Linked DNA regions of Tamandua tetradactyla. The protein of the gene in region 3 interacts with the protein of the main gene of each other region in a biochemical or structural test. Links are inferred from orthologs where the notes say so. Each region holds a gene or a part of one and is shown on either strand. Other genes may lie near its edges.

Region 1 (7,692 bases), on a different chromosome or scaffold from region 3:
CCCCAGCTGCGACCTGTTGGCAGCTAAAGGCTCTTTGCTGTTACCCTAGACTGGAGAACTACCCTTGGCTGAGGGTCAAGAAATACACACTCCCACCCTCTACCTATTCTCACAGGGGCGCAATGACTGGAGACAATGACTAAGTGATAAGGGAGTACAAAATGGCCACCACCCTCTAGCCTCAAAAGAGAACATGGGATACCAGCCATGCCACGTGGAATCAGGCTCAAGTTAGACTGCAGCTGAGAAGATACAGTCTTAGCTTTTCTCCAGCCCTATCCTGCTTCCCTCACTCCCTTTTCCTCCTTCAACATCCACTCACACAAGAATCTCATCAGACTCTTCCCCTAGGAAACCTAAGATTTGTATAATTAATATCTGCCTATTGAGTTTATATATGTAAGTTTATATCTCAATAAAAAGTAAAAGAAAAAATGTTTCCTTTGCACAATTAAAAAGCAAATGTTTAATCTCCCCTTGAAATACTGATCAACAAACAACTGCTCTGCTCAGAATTACTTGGTGAAAAAGGATCAACATCAGTATTAGGGAATGCTGGAGGCAATTCTGTCTGTAATAGAAGTCACAAGGTCTACACAAATGAAGTGACATGGATTCTAAATTGGTAAACTGCCACTAACTTGCTGTATGAATGTGCAATTACTCAATTTTCTTGGTATTTCATGGGCCAAACTTGTAAAACTAGGAGATTTGGCCCTGAAGTTCTCTAAAGTCCCTTCCAAGTACAAAAATTCTTGGATTTTATGTCAATCTCAGTCACTCCTACCCACAAACCCTGCCACCGGCACAATACCCCCTTACCACCACCTCTACTTTCCACACCTTTCCAATTCTATCTTTCTGGTTTGGCTAAGAGGCACAACGGTGGATCACATTTGAAGATCCCAATCCTATCATACAAAAGCTCAAAGCCTGAAAATGATCAGCACATTTCCCTCCCAACTCCCTCCCACGGTTTCCTTCCTCTACCCCCCAGAAATCAACATCACACATACATCCTCATAGTACACATTTTTTTAAAAGTATGTTCCTATGTGGACTTGATCATCACTCACAGTTGTATTTATTAGACTCAAGTTATAATAAGCAAATGCATTTTAAAGAACACTTAAAATTCTTTAGAAAACAGGCAGCTTAAATGGATTCAATTAAACTCTTTAAACACTCCATCTGTAGGACCACATTTTAAGTTTTATCTGGTAAAACTGAAACAGAGGCAGAAGAGGGATTCATGAGTCAGAACAGTGGAGAAGTTTGGAGAACAAAAGACTGAAGCAATGTCAACACCAATGCTAAAGTATTTATTAACAATTCCAATGAATCAACAGATACCACTCATCACAGGAGGTTAGCTAGAAATTCCAGAAAGGGAGGACAGCAGAGTAATCATTTTGTCTACCCTCATGCTAAACAGTTATCATAAGAGCAATTACATGACCAGTCAAATAGGAAAAAGTCCTAAAGTCTCTCAAGAAATATGTACCATGAAGCCTGGTAAAGAATAATGCTCAATATTCTGTCAGTCAAACTAGTGGCTAATTATGAGGGGTTCTGCCTTAATTTTAGGGAGTACTGATCTTAAAATATATATTAGCTATTTACTATCTACAACAGAAAATATTCTTTGGGCAATATTTCAAAAGCAATCACTATTTGGTGGCAAATGAGATAAAGTTCATTTCTGAAAAGAAAGATTCTGCTCCTTGACCCTACCGCAAGAAGAAAAGAATAACTTCATCTTTAGTATGAACAGAAATTACTGGTGATTCTAACATACAAGACCTTTCCTTCACTAGCCCTTCTTTCAAGATCTGTCTAAAACACCCCCCCACACACACGTGTAAAATTCTACCAAGCTCTTTCCGTATCCTTATTGATGTACCCTACCAGTTTCGCCTCATTAAGAGATGTAAACAGCTCTTTGCCTATGATGACCAAAGTGAAACCATTACTGGCCAATTTCAGGAAGTGACTTCTTACCAATCGCGCTGCTACTGGAAACCTTTTCGGTCATTTCTCCCATCTAGTTTTTTATAATGTCTCACTGTCCCAGCGCTACCCAAAATAGGAATTCCAGCAGAGCCGCCTCGAAATTATTTATTTTAAAGCATTCTCAAACAGCAGCACGCTAGCGGTTGCCTCGATTTGCTAGATGCCGACTTTTAAGGTCGGACTTAAAACTTAGAAGCGAAAGAAAAGAGCTCTTCCTCCACACCAACAATTCAAGCTTCACCGCCCCGAGGACCCAGGGGGTCGCAAACATTTTGCCCCAAATTGTCGGCTACAACCACCCTCTGGGTGGGGCGCGAGTCCCTGGTGTTCGCGTATGCGGTGGGAGAGCGCATCGATTGGAAATAGCCTTATTCTAGGAACACCCCACCTGCCAAAACACGATTCCGAAGACCAAAGCGCCCAGAAAGCTGACTCTGCTAACAAAAAAGATGTGCTTCCTTCCTCGGAAGATTTTTCAGAACATATATACTATATGTATACATTATACAAAAAGGCTGGTCTCTTACCTTCCTACTTGCTCCTCCAAGGGACACCTTGGGCCTGGTTTTGAAATCCCCTTCAAAACTAAACATCTTTACAGCTTATCCCATCTAGGAGGAGATCCCTAAATACAGCCAGGAGCCCACCGGGGAGGGGCGGAAAGGATCCCGCGGGGGGTGGGGGGGGGAGGAGAGGCGCAGGGAGCGTGACACCGCCGCCCTAGCCCCGGGCACTGAACAGGACGACGTCGGCTGCCGCGGCTGCTGCTGGAGGAGAAACGATCCCGTGCCTGAAACCTCCCTTCCCACGGTGGCTCTGCCCTCCCAGCCTCTGCCCTCTGGGATGAGTAGGGGGCGGCCGAGGAGACTATAAGGACGGGGACGATGACACTGGAGGATGCGGCTCTTCCTCACCTCCCCCCTCATTCAAAGTCTCCCCCACTGTTCGCCGCCGAGGCCAAGGGGCGCCCGGAAAAATGGCAAGTGACTCCCGCACTTGCACTAGGAAGCAGCCGTCTTAGGAAAGAAGATGGCCGCCGACTGCAGTTCCCGTCCGCGGTCCCGCGCCCGGGCGAGCGAGTGAGCGCGCCCCCGCCATCGATGACTCCGGCGATCCTCTCGGTGCACAGGCCTAAGGGATGGCCTGCCGGGGCCGCGCCTCTGCCGGAGCCCCGCCCTAAGCGTGCGCGCCCTCGCGAGACGTGCCTGCAGGCTGGGAATCTTACCCGGGTGACCTCCCAGGCTCATTTCACCTTACTCGGCCGTAGGAGGTAGGAGAGATGCCACTGCATTTCTCACCTTCTAGGGCATGCAGATCTCTTCTCGGATTTGCACCGCATCTTGGAGTGTCTGATTGAAGTTGTATTCAACGAGCTCTACGCTGAAGAACTTGGAGCCTACTCTGCCCTCCAAAACAGGGCTCCAAGGACAAGAATGAGTGGATGAGAGTCAGTGGCTTCCTGAAACTCTGCAATTGTGTGCGGAATTTTGTGCATTTTTCTGGGAAGTGGATTCATAGCGATCAATATGATGCCAAACTTAATTTGAGATGAAGATAATCTAATACTCTTTTTAATTAAATATTCTAATAAACAGCACGATTCTCTTATTAATTATTAGAATATTTAGACACACAGAGGTGAACTAGTCTAGTGAAAAGGGCAACCTTGGGCCTCGATTTCGGTCCCAGCTCTGCCACTTACCAACCATGTCACGTCTTTGCTTTTACATTTACTCTCCATAAAATGAGGGCAGTAATATCTCTGCTGTCCACCTAGACCTTTGTGTGGATGAAATTATCCCCAAATGTCCTTTTAAAAAGTTTAGGGTGATGCGATGGTGGCTCAGTGGCGGAGTTCTCGCCTGCCGTTCCAGAGACACGGGTTCGGTTCCTGGTGCCTGCCCATGTTTAAAAAAAAATTGTTTTTAAGTACACTGTGCTTTATCAGTAGAAGGCATTTAATTTTTCTTTTTCATCCAGTTGTGCTGAAGCAAAAGCTGCATCCTCAGACTGTCAATGTCACTCAGCACTTGGAATATTATGAGGGTTTTCCAAAGATAGGTCTCCTTTTTGAAGTGAACTCAAGTGGGTATCTAGTGTGTTAATTAGAATAACTAATAATAATCACATGGCTATTATAATTAAAAAGTTGTATATGCAATAAAGTTTTAATTCCTAAATCTTGTGCCTACTTGCAGTGTAGTAGATGCTCAAAAAATATTTGTTGAATGTATGAGTAAGTGAATTAATGCATTTTCCTGTTGATTCTCATACAATCTTAAAGACAGGGTAGGGTTTAGGGTTTCTGTTAAAGTTATATGAACCCTGAACTTCAATGAAAAAAAACAGAAAATCTCAGTTATCAGTTTATTTCAAACTAGTTTGAACTGAATCCATTATTTGAATATAAGGCGGATTCAGGTAGTCTAGTAGTTTACAAAATGCAATAAAAATGTATCAACTTCCCTAAAAAGTTATCACAGAAATAACAATCAAAGCGCTTAGTAATAGTAAACATCAGGTGCTCCAGTTGAAACTAAGAAACTTTTAAAATAACCTTGGGGGTTAAATGTATTATACTAGTAATGCATGTTCATAGAAAAATCAGGCATGAAGATAAGTACAATGAAGACTATAGAAATCACTCAAAATGCCACCACTAACTCAAAAACAAAAGAACAAACAACCCAATTATAAAATAGGCTAAAGAAATGAATAGGCATTTTTCTGAAGAGCAAATATAGATGGCTCAAAAGCATGTGAAGAGATGTTCATTTCGTTAGCTATAAGAAAAAAGCAGATCAAGACTACAATGAGATACCACCTCACACCTATAAGAATGGCAGCTGTTAAACAAACAGGAAACTACAGATGTTGGAGAGAATGTGGAGAAATTGGGACACTTATCCACTGCTGGCAGGAATGCATAATGGTACAGGCGCTGTGGAAGACAGTTTGGTGGTTCCTTAGGCAACTAAATATCAAGTTGCACTATGACCAGGCAATAGCACTACTCAGTATATACCCAGAAGAGCTGAAAGTGGCACAAACACACATTTGCACACAGCATTATTCACAATTGCCAAGAGATGGAAACAATCCAAATGCCCATCAACAGTCGAGTGGATTTTATAAAGATATAACATTTACAATGTGACTGTGTGATTGTGAAAACCTTGTGTCTGATTCTTATATCCAGGGTATGGACAGATGGGTAAAAGTATGGATGTAAATAAATAAATAATAGGGCAGACAAAGCATAAAATAAATTGGGTAGATGGAAACACTGGTGGTCAATGAGAGGGAGGGGTAAGGTGTATGGTATGTATGAGTATTTTCTTTTTATTTTTTTTCTGTAGTTATGCAATGTTCTAAAAAATTATCAGGGTGTTGAATACACAACTGTGTGATGATATTGTAAGCCATAGATTGTTGCACTATGTATAGAAAGAATGTGTGAAGATTTCTCAATAAAATTAAAAATAAAAAAATATGAGTGACTTAACAAAATGTGGTGTACACATATGATGGACTAGTATGCAGCAGTAAGATGAAATGATGTCCTGAAGCACATGACAAGATGGATGAACTTTGAGGACATAATGCTGAGTGAATAAACCAGACACAAAAGGATAGATACTGTGTGACTCATATGTTTATGACCATGGTAAAGGAAAATCAGAGGCTTATAATACAGACTATAGGGGGCTTAGAGATGCATAGAAGCTAGAAATGGGTGAATGGTTAGCTAATGAGGTTGAACTCAAATGTGAGGGAATAGATAGACGTGAAGATGGTTCTCTAGTGGATCTATAAAATTATCATACTGAAGGTGAACATGATTGAAAGGGGTTGTATAGACCTACGTGTCCTACTGATTAACAATAAAAAAAATAATAAGTTCTTGCAAGAACTATTTCAAAGTGATGATTCATGTACAAAGAGTGTTTAAGTCCAGGGCACAGGAGGAAAACTGCTACTGCTATTGCATGCTATGGGCGATGTTTAACAGGAAAACATCAGCAATACCACAGTAACACCAGGGGAAGTTATTGCGGGAAGGGACAAGAGTTAAGGGGAGGTTTAGATTTCCTATTTGGTGAGGGTGTGTTTATTGGTAATCTTTCTCTTAGGAACAATGAAGCTATCTAAAGTTGAGAGTGCTGATGGATTGTGGGCTTTGGACAGTGTTCTAGCTTGCTAATTGCCGGAATGCAACACACAAGAGCAGATTGGCTTTTTAAGGGGATTTATTTTGTTAGTTCTTCAGAGGAAAGGCAGCTAACTTTCAACTAAGGTTCTTTCTTACGTGAGAAGGCACAGGGTCATCTCTGCTGGCCTTCTCTCCAGGCCTCTGGGTTCCAACAGCTTTCCCCAGGGTGATTTCTTTCTGCGTTGCCAAAGGCCTGAGCTGAGCAAGTGCCGAGATGAGGTATGCTCAGCTGCTTGAGCTGTGTTACATTGAGTGCTCTCATTTAAGCACCAGCCAATTAAATCAAACATCATTCATTACAGCAGGCATGCCTCTTAGCTGACTGCAGATGTAATGAGCAACAGATGAGTTCACATATCATTAGCTCATGTCCACAGCAACAGAACTAGGTACTTTCACCAGGCCAAGTTGACAAGTAACTCTAACTACCACAGACAGTATACATAATGTCTAATGAATGCAGGTGGCTGAAGGATGCACTGCCTGAGAAGTAGATTGGCCAATGATGGTGTTTACATATGATGGAATACTGTGCTGCTACAAAAAGAAACAAAGTCATGAGGCATGCAACATTGTGAATGAACCTGTGGGACATTTGGTGAAGCAAAATAAACCAGAAACAAAAGAGCAATTAGTCTCCTTTAGAAAATGCTTATAAGAAAACAGAGTCCTGGATTGTAAGCTCTTATAGCACATTTAGTCTGGAGTGGTAATTATTGTTTCTGGATTTTAAGAGGCTCTTTTATATATGGCCCTGGTGCCATGGTATCGACAATGCCATCCTGACCAAAAGGGAGAAAAGAAGTGTAACAAATAAGGTATCAGTGGCTGAGAGAGTTCAAATAGAGTGGAGAGGCTACACTGGAGGTCATTGTTACATACTCTTCAGTTAGACATTGCTACCTATCATAATCTGCCAACCCCCAACCCAAACCATTCCAGCCAATCTTAAAGAACACCTAGGACAATATATAAGATTCTGCAAAGGTCCCATGCACTAGGGTAATTTTCCAGAAGCCTAAAACCTCCAGTTGGGTTCCTGGACAAGACAAGTCCTCAAACCTAGAGGGCCCAGCCTCTCCAGTACATCAACTAGATCACTACCTCCCTACCCCATATTATTGATGGCCCCTTCCAATATGAAAAATTAGAATGGGCATGGCCCAAATACTCCTAAAGAGTGGGATAGAAAGATCAAAGGTAATAGTGGAGTTGCACAGAGAAGGTAGGGTTTAACAAACGAGTATGATTGCTGAATCATTATATTGATATTTCTTTTAGTTTCCAGTATCTTAGAGCAGCTAGAAGTAAAAGCTTAAAATGGTGGAATTGCAACCCGTACCAAACTCTGAAATCTGTTCTACAACTAACTGTTATGCTGTGCTTTGAAATTTGGTGCTTTTTTGTATATACATTACTTTTCACAAAAAAGGAAAAAGGTTGATTGTGATGATAAAAAAATATTT
Region 2 (7,390 bases), on a different chromosome or scaffold from region 3:
ATAGTAACTGGCACATAGTAAACACTATAAAATACTGGTTCAATTTTTTTGCTGTTTTTTTTTATTTAAGAAAACAAACAATACACTTAGAACCACAAACAATGGATATTTTAACTTAACCATAGGCATATTTAAACAAAGTACTCTGGTTAAATTTAAAAAAATAAAATTAAAAGAAAACTAATTATGTTCTGTGGTTAACAGTAAATAGCCATCATTTGTTTCATATTTTATGAATTGCATAGCTTTTACACAACCTCATTTAATCCTCTCAATAAATCTGTGAGATAAGTTTTCCCTTTTACAATTAAAGAAATGAGTTCAGAGAGGCTATGTAATCTGCTCATGGGCACACAGCTAGTAAAAGAAACAGGTCTTCTAACTAAATCTCATGTTTCTTCACCCACACCACAACTATCTCTCTTGGATTGGACCTACAGGAATTAAGGCATCAAAGGTTAGTAAATACAAAACTCACAGTCCTACAGATTTAAGCATACAAAGATTATATAGCAACTGCTCCTCTTAGCAATACAATGGAGGTCTCTTCCTCCAAAAAGTTTTCTACCAATTTCCATAAGCTTGTTCTCTCTCAGGTTGGAGAAATGGATTTTCTAATCTCGAAGTATTGGCATTTCCAAATGCTTTAATTTAGTTAATGAAGCACTCTTCACGTATTATAACCATTTGCAAAAGAGCAAATTTTGACTCTCAATATGCAAAAATATTTGGCAATTTATCTTCAACGTGTCCCTTTAGAAGAAGGCACACAAATTCATTTATATTAACTCACTTATGTTTAAAATCTGCTATGGAAATTCAAAGGAATTGTGGTAATTTAGAGCAATGTATTCCATTTCACAGAATACACAGAATACACTGCTCTAGCAAATGTTATGATCTTCAATAACAAGCCATATGAACCTTCTGAGTCAGAGTGGAATATGGTTTACTTTTTTTTTTTTAAGAGGTAGGAATAAAAATGATAATTTCTAGGAGCTAGGAATGCAGCACTAATACAGCATATTGTGCGATGAGTACAACAGAGTTTAAAGAGCACCTAAGTCATTTCACCTCTAGGCCAGCAATTCTCAAAATGTGGGCCACGTGGGCAGGCCACGGTGGCTCAGCAGGTAAGAATGCTTGCCTGCCAAGCCCGAGTACCCGGGTTCGATTCCCGGTGCCTGCCCACATAAAGAAAAAAAAAAAAGTGGACCAGGAGCATTGATGTGACCTGGGAACTTGCTAAAAATATAACTGGGGATGGGGGGACAGGACCTATAATTTGTATTTTAACAAGCCCTATAGATGATTCTGATGCATGTTCAAGTTTGAGAGATATGACTCTAGGCTCTTCAGTTTTCTCAGCATTATAAAAGAAAAGGTGCCAGATGGCATGGAATCTATATGCTTGGTTAAGCAGTATACAAATATTATAAATCATTTATACCACAAGTGGACATTTTAAACCGGTAACTGATTGCAAGGACCAATCATAACAAAACAAACCTTTTAAATGCCTTTTTCAAAAAGTCACTGACCTCATTTCTTCAATAGTCGGACCATTTACACCAACGGAGCAGCACAAGACAAATGTTATGTCATTTTATGTTGTCTTCACATTTAACGTTCTTCCTCACTATTCTAGTATTTTGTGTCATTTTGAACATCAGACTTACAAACTTAAAAAAAATGATTTGCAAGGTGGGGGCAACCAAACTTAAATAAGTAAACCACCCAGGCTTACTTCTTACGGGAGCACATCTTTATGGTAAAGCTAGAGTCAAGAAACAGCCGTTTACGTTCCAGTTCCTCTTCAAAGTCACACGTAACGACTTTGCCTAGTCAATTCCTACCTCTTCTCATCCCCAAGATGAGGATATTAATATTTACTTGACAAGAACTAGTGGGAGGCTTGAAATAACAGGTTTGACAGCCCTTTATAAACTGTAAAGAGCTATACGAATGGAGGTGGTAGAATGAGAGCATGCTAAACAACTTAATTTTCAGAATCCTAAATTAACAACCATTGTTCTCATTTTACAGACCAGAAAACTGAAAAGGAAGTTAAATAAGATGCCCAAGATCACAGAAATAGAACGTAGCAGAGGAAGAAATTTGACCGTAATAGCAGAAAAAGGAACATCTTAGGAAACGACGGGAAGGAGTCTCCTTTTCCAAAAGCCTAGTAAAAGCTAACTGTAAAGTACTGTCAACTCCTGGCCAGGAGAGCACAGAAGCAGCAACTGCGGGGTGGTACAGTCGCAAGAGTTGTGCAAACTGAGGAGGAGCACGAGGAAGCGTCAGAAGGCAGGTAGAGACCCCAGGAGTACAGAGAGCATGGATACCTCCAACAGGGTGAAGAGATGGAGAAACCCGAGAAGTGAAAGAAATAAAGTCTTGTGACACAGAATCTATGGGAGGGCGGGAAGCCCCCGACACAAGCGAGAAGCCCGGATGCGAGGGCGGCAGCCCCACGACGAGCTGGCCGTGCCAGCCGTCTGGGTGACGGACTAAAGCAAACGCGGCCCGGGGCACCCAGAATCGGACCCCAGTCTGCCGGGACACGCCACAGCTGGGGCCACACAGCGAAAGGAGTAGCTCCCCAGCCCCAACAGCGCCTCAAGAGCAGCGCGCCGGGGTACCTCGGTCCCCTCACCTGGAGCGCGGCAGAATCGGCCGCAGAGGACGCAGGAACCGGCCGCAGCGGAATTGAAGGCGACCGGAAGTGAAGAACGGGGACCGGAACCGGCTAAGACGAACCGGAAGTTAGTGGTTGGAGAGAGAAACCGCTGGACCGTGGAATGCAAGGGCGGTTCCCTTGTTTTTGTTTGGGTGCTAATCCAAGATAGTTTCTGCTTCTGGGATCTCCACGACGATAAATAGGAAGCCAGACTTTTCCAGGATGTGACCGCTGTGTAGCTGCCGGCAATACCGGAGGGACCGTTGGACCGCGCCGACTCGGCGCCTGCGCCTGCTATTCTTCGGGGGCTGAGAGAGGCGGGTGCTTGGTGGTAGTGACGTTTTATGTATTGTTTCGCCGAAATTCGAGCCGTTTCAGGCGTGGTCCGTTGGCTTCTCCAGGTGTTCTGAGATCTTCGTGGGACGCCGGACTAGGACTCGTGTGGCTGGCTGTATCGTGTTCCAAATGTGACACGATACAGGTGACTTTTGAGCACTGGAGACTTTAAGTTCCCTCACTGGCCTCAGGGCCCGCCAATACTAGTAATTTCAGGTGTTTTGGGTTCTACCAGTTTTACAAAGGGAAACTCTAGAGCGTGGGGCAAGGGAACCGGCAAGCTTAAGTGACTCAGAGTCAAAGAAGCAGATTCAATATGAGAGGTGCGCTCGAATTACTATAATACAATATTGTATTGTATCTCCACCCTCCTATCCCTGTTTCCATTCCATCTTCTCTCTGAATTCAAGAAAAACCAATTAGAGACCCTGGCAAAAGAACTTCAGACTATAATGGAAATTCGGAGCAGTCTCCAGTAGGTCCATAAGCAAATTCCCAAAGTGTACCACTTGCTGCTAAGCAAAACAAACAAAAAAACTATTTTCCATTAGATTGGTGTATATGGCACCAAATAAAACAGGTTTTAAAAAGGAAATGAAGAGGAAACCTAAAGTAATATAGTTTGTGCAAAAATCACGTTAGCAATCTGGCCAAAGAGACTGTCAAAACACGAGAGACTTGTGTTCGGAATGAATCATGGCTTTCTTTAGCCCAATCTCTTTTCCTTGCTTTGTTCGTCTGCTAAGTAATTGTTTTGGCTACTTTGTATTTTTACACTTGTGATTAGGGAAGCTTAATCACGAGATCAACTAAAACTTGGTAAAGCATCACTAAGAATTTTTTAGCTAATAAAATAGCCATGTTACAAGGGATCTGATATTTTAGGCATTAGTAGAGTTGCCAAGTGCTTAAGAGTAGTATTTCTCTGAGATGAAGGAGTAGTATAGTATTTTGGACAAATATCTAACAGGTGACTTCAAGTTATTTTATGCCCATGTCTCAGTTCCTTCAAATCCATTGCCATTTAGCTGAACATTCAAAAAATAAAAAAAACATTGTTTATGTTTCAAAACCTTTGTTATACTGTTGTGCATTGTGACTTTCTAAGATAAGAATAAAGTGTGCCATGTTTTCCTAACTGCTAGAACCTAGAACCCCCTGAAAAAACATACACACAGCGTCTTGGCAGGACCAGTGTCTCAAGATATACCTTGGGAAATATTGCCTCGGTTGAGACGTCAATTGTGTCTGAAATTAGTATACCTAATAATCAAACTAGTTTTGCCAGGAGTCTCATTTGAGGGTATTATTCATCTATCTAATTAGGTTTTCAAAAGCTAGCTTTATGTTGTTTCTACCTGGGCCTTGAATAGATTTTCATTTTGAAGTACATTTAGACTTTGTGTATGTTTTATGGAGAAAAACATCAAATACTGTTAAATCAGATTTACATTTTATCTACTTAAATCATGTTCTAATTTTTAAATGTTTTGATCTTTCTTAACATATTAAAATGAGTCAAGCATCCATGTTTCCAGGTTTTTTCTACCATCTCAGGCCCTTTCCTATAAAGGGGAAGTGTTTATTTTCCTTAGTGCATATTCCAAGTAAGTAAAATTGGACTACCAGTATCTGTTAAATTTGTCTTAGGGCCATAATAATCAAGATGTAGTTCTTGGCAGTTTTTTATATTGTTTTTGAAAAGAAGGAGGAAACGTTCACTTTTCAAAATGCAGAATTTGGCTATGTGACAGTGGATTTTTGGAAACATTAATTGTTAACATGTATTGAGTGCTTATTTGGAACTAGGCACCAGCCAACCTGAACTGGCCATAATCCTTACAGCCACTCTACAGCAGGGCCAGAGAATAAAGATTTTAGGATTTGTGGGTCACATAGTCATCTTTGTTTTTAAAAATCTAAAAACCATTCTTAGCCATAGTCTGATACCTGCTGAGGCGTAGGCACGCTTATCCCTCCATTGTACAGATGGGGAAATCAGGGTCACACTGCTTGTCAGTGGGGAAGGCAGGATTTGAACCCAAGGAGTCTGGCCCCTGAGCTCCAGTTTTTCATAGCTGCACTCTTGACAATATAACCAACTATCTTTAGGTGTTTTAATCCTATGCCTTGCAGCAACTTTAGCTTTTCAGTGTTTCAGTTAAAATGTTTCAATTCTGAAAATTGAGGATCTTGAGGGTAAAAGACATTCCTTCAGTAAATAAAATTATGTGCAATTATAGGATAAATATATTATTACTATTTAGCAATGATTGTATTAGTGTAATGCCAATTCTGTAATAAATAGACCCAAAATAAAAATAAAGTTAAAAATTTTTTAAAAGCATTAAGTAAGGAAACATTTGCTGTGGATTGCCAGGTATTTGTTTGAACAAGGAAATTGGACACTTAGTGAAACTGGTTATAAATGCAATCTGGACCTAGGGAAAGACTCAGAGGAACTGGAAATTGCCAGTAAGAAAACTAAGCTTCTGCTTCCTTGCTTCTGTTGCTCCCTTGTAAGAAAATTAAGCTTCTGCTTCCTTGCTTTTGTTGCTCCCTTGAGCCTCTCTTCTAATACATGGAGGAAAATACACCATACCTCATTCATATACCTCCTCAGCAGCTAAAGATGCCTGGAAAATCATCCCTCAAGTTTAGATAAATTGTCAGGTCCTAGAGACTATATAGAACTAATCACAAAATCAGACGATAATCTGCTAATATCACAATGATTATGTTTGGTTAGGAAGACAAAAGGACATGTTTGCACCTGGGCCAGAAATCTACTTCTACCCCAGTTTTATCTCTATTTCCCTCAGACTGGTTTTCTTAACCTTTTCTTTCCAAGGTCATTTTCTTCCTCTGGCCACTGCCCACCCTTGAGCAAAGCAGATCTATTTCCCTCATAAACATTTCCCTCTCTTCCCAGTTGTAAGACAAAACCTCCCCCTCTTCAGTATAGCACTTAGTTTCTCTCTTTAATACCTCCTTTCTTGCTTTGGCCTTGCCTGCAGTAAGGGAGCTGAGGATGGTTGAAAAGAATGTGCCCAGCAAAACAGATCTCTTCAGGCCCTTAACTCACTTTGGCAATTTCACTGCCTTTCTCTATCCCACTTGTTTTTCCAAAATGGCTACTCAAAACCTCCACTCTCTTCATACCTCAGACCTTCTAGTTTACATTTTTGCTCCTAGCAGATAACATTGCCCCCTGTTTTGCTAAGAAAATAGAAGACTTCAAATAGTAACTGCCTCAACTTCAACCTCTAAATCTACAAACCAACCTATATCTGTACTCATCCTTGCTTCTTTTGCATCTGTTACAATTGAGGCAGTTTGCTTCTACTTGAATCCAACCCCTATACTTATGCTCTGACATCCTCCTCCAAACCTTTCTGTGAATTCAGTATCCCCTTTCTTGTTCTTTTTTACTTCCTTTCTCTTTACTGGCTCATTCCCATCAATAATAAACATGCCATGGTATCTCCCCACCCTAGCTGTCACCCTATCCTTGCACAGTTGAGTATTTCAGAATATTGTTTATAGTTGTCTAAACTTGATGTAATCTGTAATTGTGTATTTCTTTGAGAGATTCATTCTTTAATTACCCTGTTCCCCATTATACTGTAAGTTTTGTGAGGAAACTGCCCATATCTGATTAAGTCAGGATTTTAATCTCAGAGCCGAATATGAGGCTGGCTAAGGTAGGTAATAAATAAGTGATGAATAAGGGAATTAAAAAAATGTTTTTAAATAATGAAAGCAAATTATATAATAGTACATAAAGTTAATTAATTATTCCTTTACAAATGTGGATATGATTGGATACATAGAAAAGGTCTGAAATCACATATACCGAGATGCCCATAGTTGATGTCATCACAGGACACCTTCAATAAATATTTGTTGAAGGAATGAAGTTTACCTCTGGATAGCATCATTTAACAGGTGATTTTTACCTTCTTTATATCTTCTATATTTGAGTTTTTACAATGATTTCGCACTACTTTTTTACTTTTGAATTATATAAGAAATCCATGAAGTATTATTTTTGAGGAATTGAAATAATATACTCATATCCTTACTACTGATAGCTTTTATCCTTGAAAATTTTTTCTATGCTTTATATGTATATATAGTTTATATGGGGTTTTCTTAAAACTTTATTTTAAAATAATTTTAGACTCACAGGAGGGTTTCCCCTCTGTACCCTTTACCCACTTTTTCCCATTGATTACATCTTATATAACTATAGTACAGTATCAAATGAAGGAACTGATTTTGGTATGATGTGCATGTGTGTGTAGTTCTATGCCATTTTTACACTGTAGATTTGTGTCACTACCACTAGAATCAAGACAAGAGTGTTCC
Region 3 (7,248 bases):
CTGGGAGAACAGAGGGGCACAATCGAGGGAGGCATGCTGAGAAGACAGGCCTGAAACTCAACCCTACAGTGTTCACTCACCTGGTGAGATACAGGCAGACCTTTGCATATGCATTCTCGTCAATGTCCTTCTCCAGCATATCTACCTGCTCAATTTCCATGAGCAGGTCACAAGCTTCATGCTCTGCATTGTGGGCCATATTGTAGGGGACGATCTCCTTCACCAGGGTCAGCAGTGGCTCCCGCTGTGCCTTCTCCGCCTCATCCAGCTCCTGCCACTCCTTAGCCACTTCTCCTGCCAGATGCCTATGGATAGGCCCAGACCATTAAGGGAACCCAACTTCACAGGAAGCTCTTCCCTATAGGTCAAGGAATTCAGTTTCTGAGAAACTCGATACACTGCTACACTAAGACAGGTGGTAAGTAATCCAAGCCAGATGTCAGAATTATACTTCAGACTTCCCCCTCAGATTCCCAAGAAGAAAGGCCTTACCTGACGTACTCATGACCCCATGATGCCAATTCCTCCTGGGAGCCCACCAGCCGATACTTGAGGCACTCACGCTCCCCACTCATGGTCATGGCCAAAACAGAGATAATGTCAGCTGCAAAACGCTATAAAAAGAACAGACCTTTGAAGTCAAATCCTACAGTCCAGATTAAGGGGAGCCTGACATTATGGAATAAAGATCAATGTCACTTGTTCCCCAAATTAAGTGTGAACCATATACCAGACTCTGCGCTAGAAACTTACTTATGTTATCTAAGCTAAGCTTCACAATAACCCTTTTAAACCAACTTGACTGAAAGGTGGTAAACCAAAGGGAGTGGAGAAAGAAACTCTGGATTTTATCCTCATTGTAATAGTAAGCTTTTAGAAAGTTTTAAGCAGAAGAGACACACAATCTAGAAGATAGCTATAATAGTAGTATGAAGAAAAGACTATGTAGGAGGTCAAGGACAAAGGCAAGGCCAGTTGGGAGGCTGCTGCAGTGGTTCAGGAAACTAAGGCTGTACCAACAGATGGAGAAGTGACTCAACTAGGAGGAGCATATTTTTGAGATAGAACAAGAGAAATGAAAACATGTCCACACAGAAACTTGTACATTAATGTTTACAGCAGCAAATAGCAAAAGGTGGAAACAACCCAAACGTTCATCAGCCGACAGATGGATAAACAAAATGTGGTATAGCCATACAAGGGAACATTATTCAATCACAAAAAGGACTGAAGTGCAGATACACGCTACAACATAGATGAACCCTGAAAACATGCTAAGTGAAAGAAGTCAATCACAAAAAGGACTGAAGTGCAGATACATGCTACAACATAGATGAACCCTGAAAACATGCTAAGTGAAAGAAGTCAATCACAAAAAGACCACATGTTATGTGATTCCATTCATACAAAATGTCCAGATTAGGTAAATCTACAGAGACAGAAAGTAGATTAGCAGATGCCTAAATCTGGAGGGGAAGGGGATGGAGAATAAGGGGCTAACTGTTAAAGCATATGGGGTTTCTTTTGGGGATGATGAAAATGTTACAAAATTGACTTTGGTGATAGCTGCATATATCTATCAACATAGTGGAAAGCATTGAATTGTACTGCAAATGGATGAAATGTAACCTATTTCAATAAAGCTGTTTTTTGTTGTTGCTGTTAAAAAAAAAAAGATCACGCTAAAGGTCCAACATGAAGGACAGAAACAACGTTTACTGAGAAGTTAATTCTTTCAGTTCTCATGTGGGTATTTTTACTGTGATGAGCTCTATTCAACCAGCTCAGGTCTCAGGTCTATCCGGCTTCCAAGAACTCACCATAAGACCAATGGCCTGAATGAGAAGAACTTCCTAAACTAGAGCTTCTACCAATTTCTGAAATACCTTATTCTCTCCTGGGGCCATGTTTTCATAGATTTCCTTCAGTTTGCCATAGTGTGGTCGAAGAAATTTGAGAGGTTTGGGTACTGAAGTCATGGAAGTTGTAGAAGAACGAATCTGCCTCCGCAGTTCCTCCAGGGCTGGTCGGTACAGCGATGTGTCCTTTTCCTGATCAGAAGATGTTAGGATTCAGACAAAAAGGTGTCGTAATCCTGCCAACTCATAATACAGAGGTGTTAAAACCCTGATTCCGCTAGGTAAGTAACTGTGTCTCATTTATCTATGATTCCCCAACTCCCTGCACACTGACTGGCCCCCAAAAAACTGACGCCAGGTAGAGTTCAAGAACTCTGCTTCTCCCATAAGAGAAAGCTACAAATTCTTTCAATATCCTTTGCAACTCTACTCCCTCATAAAATCATAACACTGACCCTAAAATACAGTCCCTCTTTCTCCATACTTCACACAGGGTTCCTTGTCTAAAAATGGAATAAGGCAAACAAGTGGGAAAGATCCAAATATGCATCCGCTCAGGTTAACATCATGACTCACCCCTAGTCGTTCCACGAGCATCTCCAGTTCATCCTGTAGTTGTCTGTCCTCCTCAGACTGGAGGATTGAGGGAAGAAGCTCATTAAGACAAGGAATCTCAAACACATCCTCCTCATATTCACCCTGGGGCTGGTGGAGCGAGCCTGCCTCTTTAGGAGGAACCAGGGGGACAAGGAAACAGAGTGGGAATGGGAAGCCGTGCTGGGAAGGGGGCCTGGTTCTGGGCCAGGCTCTGCCTGAATGCCGTTCTTTGAAGGTGGGTGACAATGTCGACCCTTTCTCGCGAGGCGGTCGTGAGCGCTGGTGGGAAGTACGGAGGTACCAGCGCGGCGTGCAGAAGGGGCTGAGAGGTAGGGTGCCGGGAGCCCCAGCGGGGCCGTTGGGAATCGGGACGGAGGCCTGCGGAGCCGCCGTGACTCAGCCCGCGGCCTTGTCCGCTGGCTCCCCGGGCCGTGCCTCACCAGTTCCTGCTCTTTGTCCTTTTCCCCAGCATCCCGCCGCTCCTTGCCGCTCGGCTTCTCATCCGCGCCACCCGGGGCTGTGGCTGGGGGCTGCTGGGACTGCACCGGCAACTTGTCACGGCCTCCGTCCTCCATCGCTCAGCAGCCGGAGCGCGCCACTTGCGCGCGCACCCACCCAGACCGCCGCGTTTCCCAGGCGGCCTCGCGCTCGTCGCGCACGGCGCCCGCCTGCGACCGGAAACGCCCGGCGAGCCGGCAGCTGGCGTTGGCCCGCCCCCCCCCCCCCCCGCCTGAGAGCACCGAGCGCGGAGGCTGCTGGGAAACGACCTTTCCCAGCACCCCCGAGCGCGGAGGCTGCTGGGAAACGTCACAGACACCGCCCGGGTGCCTGCCTGCGACGGGAAGCCCCCGGCTCATCGGGGGCGCGTCGGTTCGCAGCTCCTCCCTACGCCTGAGAGCCCCGGGCGCAGAGGCTACGTGGAAACGACCTTTCCCAGCTCCCCGCGCGTCCGGGAAGCAGTCCTGGCGCCGTCTCGAGTTCCCCGGCGTGGTAGGACTGTGCGCTGGAGTTTGGGTGCGCTTTGCTGCTGTCGCCGAATGAGCTGCAAGCTGAGATGCCGAGCTTCCTTTGCCCACATTTCCTCATAACAATGTGACTGGTAACTATAGTGAAACCACGGCTGGCTGCGTGGTGCCGCACACGGACAAGACTCTTGAAATCCGGGGCGCTTGATTGTCATGCACATAAGGTCTGCGCAATATATATCTAGCCCGACACTACTGTGGAATCTTAACCTGTAACATCTCCCTCCTTTTCCTCTCCCTTCCCCAGATGAAGGAAGTGCACTACTAGTACCTTGACGATGTAGCTGCCAGTTTAAATGCTTTGGGAAACTAGGTGGAGTGGAACTTAATAAAAAATAAAGTTCTATATTCCAGCGTTAATACTGGAGCTAAAAGCGGAATAGGCAGTCTTTGCTCTCAGGCTGCCTTTTGGCCTGCCTCCTCCCTGTTGAGTTAGGACGGGTGTGACCGACACTCTTGTCTGGACGGCTTTCAAATGAGCACGTGTAGGTAGTTAGTCTCGCAATCTTTTTTGGGGGGGCAGGGGTGCGTGGGTGGAAGTGCATGGGCTGGGAATCCAGCCCTGCTCTCCCGCATGGAAAGTGAGAATTCAACCACTGAGCAACCCTTGCACCCCGCCTCTGACAATCCTTTGAAATTGATATAGGTGTGTCCTCTTTGCAGAGGAAAGTAAGGCTCAGAAATGAAATAACTCAGACATCACAAAGAAAGTAGTAGAATCAGGATCTGAACCTCCATCTTGCAGCGTTTTAGTTCCTTAATAGTTCTAGACAAACGATAAAGAGTCTTCTTTGGCCTGGGCCTCGTGTGTGTGTGTGTGTGTGTGTCCCCTTCATCTAGTAGGAACACTTACATTTTGGCCTCAAGACTTATGGGTTCTGATGCATTAAAGAATGCAGAAAATGTCTGTAAGAAGACATCTAGCCCGGCATAGTTAGCACTGAATGAATGAATGTATAGTTATAAATGTAAAGGTCTGAAGCCCACTGGAAAAACCCATTGTTCTTTTCCACTCGGTGCTTGGATTCTAGGAATGTTCTTCCATTTCCATTGCCAGTGGCTCCCGCAGCATTGCTCTGTTCACAGAAGTTGGGTAGTTTATAGCTGTTCTGCTTATTCCGTCTCTGTCTTCAGGATATCCACACATTTTTATGTAGAGGGATTCTCCCACATCTTTTTCCAAGGTTTCCTTCTGTTGGTTTTTAAATTTTTCCTATAAACCAGTCATATCCCAACCAGTATCTTAGAGAAGATGGAGTGATCTGTCAAAAAGCACAGGCTGTACTTAAAATTAGGCCTAAGAGAACCTCTTGTTGCTCAGATGTGGCCTCTCTCTTTCTCAGCCAACGCAAGCAAACTCACTGCCCTCCCTCCTCTACATGAGATATGACTCCCAGGGATGTGGACCTTCCTGGCAACGTGGGACAGAAATCCTAGAATGAGCTGGGACTCAGCGCAAGGGATTGAGAAAAACTTCTTGACCAAAAGGGGGAAGAGAGAAATGAGACAAAATAAAGTGTCAATGGCTGAGAGTTTCCAAATAGAGTTGAGAGGTTATCCTGGAGATTATTCTTACACATTAGATAGATACCACCTTTTTAGTTAAGGCATAACGGAGAGGTTGGAGGGAACTCCCTGAAAATGTAGAGCTGTGATCCAGTAGCCATGTTTCTTGAAGATGATTGTATAATGCTGTAGCTTTTGCAGTGTGACTGTGTGATTGTGAAAACCTTGTGTCTGATGCTTCTTTTATCTACCTTATGGACAGATGAGTAAAACATATGGATTAAAAATAAACAAATAATAGGGGGAACAAATGTTAAATTTAGTAGATTGAAATGCTAGTGATAATGAAAGGGAGGGGTAAGGGGTATGGTATGTATGAATTTTTTTTCTGTTTTCTTTTTATTTTTTCTGAATTGATGCAAATGTTCTAAGAAATGATAATTATGATAAATACACAACTATGTGATAAAGAATGTTCATATTGTAAGTTGACTGGTTTTATTAATAAAAATTTTAAAAAGGCACAGGCTGTTAACAGTCAGTGAATCTGTATAAAGAGTATATGAATGTTCTTTTTACCATGTTTTAACTTTTCTGTAGGTTTGGAATGTTTCAAAATTAAAAAAAAAAAGGCAGGGGGGACGACTGGGAGAACAAAAGCTTTAGAGACAGTTGCACTTGGTGTCTAAAACCAAATTCCACCATTAACCAGTTGTAAAACAGGTAAGATACCTAACATTTCTCTACCTGGTTTCTGCCTCTGTAAACATGGATAATAAACTATCTTCCTCATAGGTTGCTATGAGAATGAAATGATACAATGTATACAAAGTGCCTTTCTGGGTTTCTGACATTCAGGAATGAGACAGTTGTCATTTTATTTTGCAACATCCTCAAATCTGTAGGGCTGGGGTAAATGTTCTTGTCCCCTGCTCCCCACCTCCAAGCACTCAATCCCCTAGCTTCTCTAGCCAAATGCAAATGCTTGACAGTTATTTTCAGGGCTCCATGATACGTGTAGGTCTTCTCTCGCTTCCCATTGAGGTCCTGCTTTAAGCTGCATTTCTGCCAAACTCCCAGCCTTCTGGCCAAACTGCTGTCCTCCAATCATGAGCCAGCCCATCACTGGCCCCTTCCTACTGCTTTCTTTTAAATTGCATCCACAAGCCTTCCATGCGTCCCCCAAATTCATGGCCTCAGTTGTACAGTTACACATCTTTTGGATAGCTCTACTCATATCTGAGAACCATTTAACTAAGTCGTAGCCACATCACACCAGAAATGCTCCTGGCAGGGCACAGCATTTCGCTGTTTCTACTGGGTTGCTGCTTTCTTTGTTATATTATTCAAACAACCAGATTGCATTGTGGCCCTTATATTAATTTCCATGACTAACAGCAGATTCTGCAATCCCCCCTTTTTCATACCTGCCATAAGTACTACACTTCTCTGAATGCTTATCTCTTACCATGCCCCTTTCACCCACCCACCTCTGATCATGCCAAACATTTTACCGTCTTTGGGCATGCACTGCCTGTTCAAGCTGATCAGTTTTTTCATGTTGCTGTTCCTTCTGTGTGAAATGCCCTTTGTTGTTTTCAGCTAGCCAGCTCTCCTATTCTTTAAACTTCAGCACAATGCCATCTATCTAGATGTCATCTGGCCTTACCAGACAAAGTTAGTCATTTCCTCTCTATTATTCCACCATGCTTGGTACATACCTCTCCCAGCCTAGCCTGAGCTCCTGCAGGACAGGCACTGTGTCTTATTTATCTTTGTGTCCCCAGCACCGAAACTAATGCCAAATATTTGTTAAATGAATGAATGAATGGTTTGGTATTCATCTTCAGATCATCTTTGTGTATAATAATAGTAGCCTACTGGTAGCTCTCTTTGGAGCTTAGAGCTGGGCACTGGGAAATTGTTTTCAGGATTCTCCACTTGTGAGTCATCATTGAAACTGTGCTTATTTTATGGGGGGGGGGGGGGGGGGGGCGACTCTCTTCCAGTCTGATATTTCCATAGTGCTCCCAAGCATGAAATCACACTGTTTGGTCTATGTTACCTTATTGTGCTTGGGAATTAGTCAAACTTCCCAGTGGGCCAGCACAGGATATGGTATAGAACTTCACCAATAATTGCTCTCGTGTCTACCCAGGAGCATCATCCTTTACTTCTTCTGCCTCGACACACTGGAGCTTATCACAGATACGTACTTGCCAGACTGTCAAGGCTGCTGAGGGTGAAGGTTACATCTGTCA

What was found.
Region 1: the proteins of PSMD2 (region 3) and UBE3C form a complex in vitro, tested with the Homo sapiens proteins (2 studies listed by BioGRID). The link is inferred for Tamandua tetradactyla from reciprocal best matches to the Homo sapiens genes PSMD2 and UBE3C.
Region 2: the proteins of PSMD2 (region 3) and UBLCP1 form a complex in vitro, tested with the Homo sapiens proteins (3 studies listed by BioGRID). The link is inferred for Tamandua tetradactyla from reciprocal best matches to the Homo sapiens genes PSMD2 and UBLCP1.

Annotation. Positions count from the first base shown.
Region 1 is NC_135327.1:203,137,075-203,144,766, reverse strand, and holds the start of UBE3C (ubiquitin-protein ligase E3C), read right to left. Parts: upstream 3,094-7,692; 5' UTR 2,940-3,093; coding exon of another isoform or gene 2,928-2,939; 5' UTR 2,607-2,927; coding exon 2,541-2,606; intron 1-2,540. UniProt on the Homo sapiens protein: E3 ubiquitin-protein ligase that specifically catalyzes 'Lys-29'- and 'Lys-48'-linked polyubiquitin chains.
Region 2 is NC_135346.1:40,523,447-40,530,836, reverse strand, and holds the start of UBLCP1 (ubiquitin-like domain-containing CTD phosphatase 1), read right to left. Parts: upstream 3,019-7,390; 5' UTR 2,660-3,018; intron 1-2,659. UniProt on the Homo sapiens protein: Dephosphorylates 26S nuclear proteasomes, thereby decreasing their proteolytic activity. Recruited to the 19S regulatory particle of the 26S proteasome through its interaction with 19S component PSMD2/RPN1.
Region 3 is NC_135336.1:2,646,209-2,653,456, reverse strand, and holds the start of PSMD2 (26S proteasome non-ATPase regulatory subunit 2), read right to left. Parts: upstream 3,095-7,248; 5' UTR 3,032-3,094; coding exon 2,897-3,031; intron 2,493-2,896; coding exon 2,436-2,492; intron 2,052-2,435; coding exon 1,887-2,051; intron 615-1,886; coding exon 493-614; intron 306-492; coding exon 81-305; intron 1-80. UniProt on the Homo sapiens protein: Component of the 26S proteasome, a multiprotein complex involved in the ATP-dependent degradation of ubiquitinated proteins.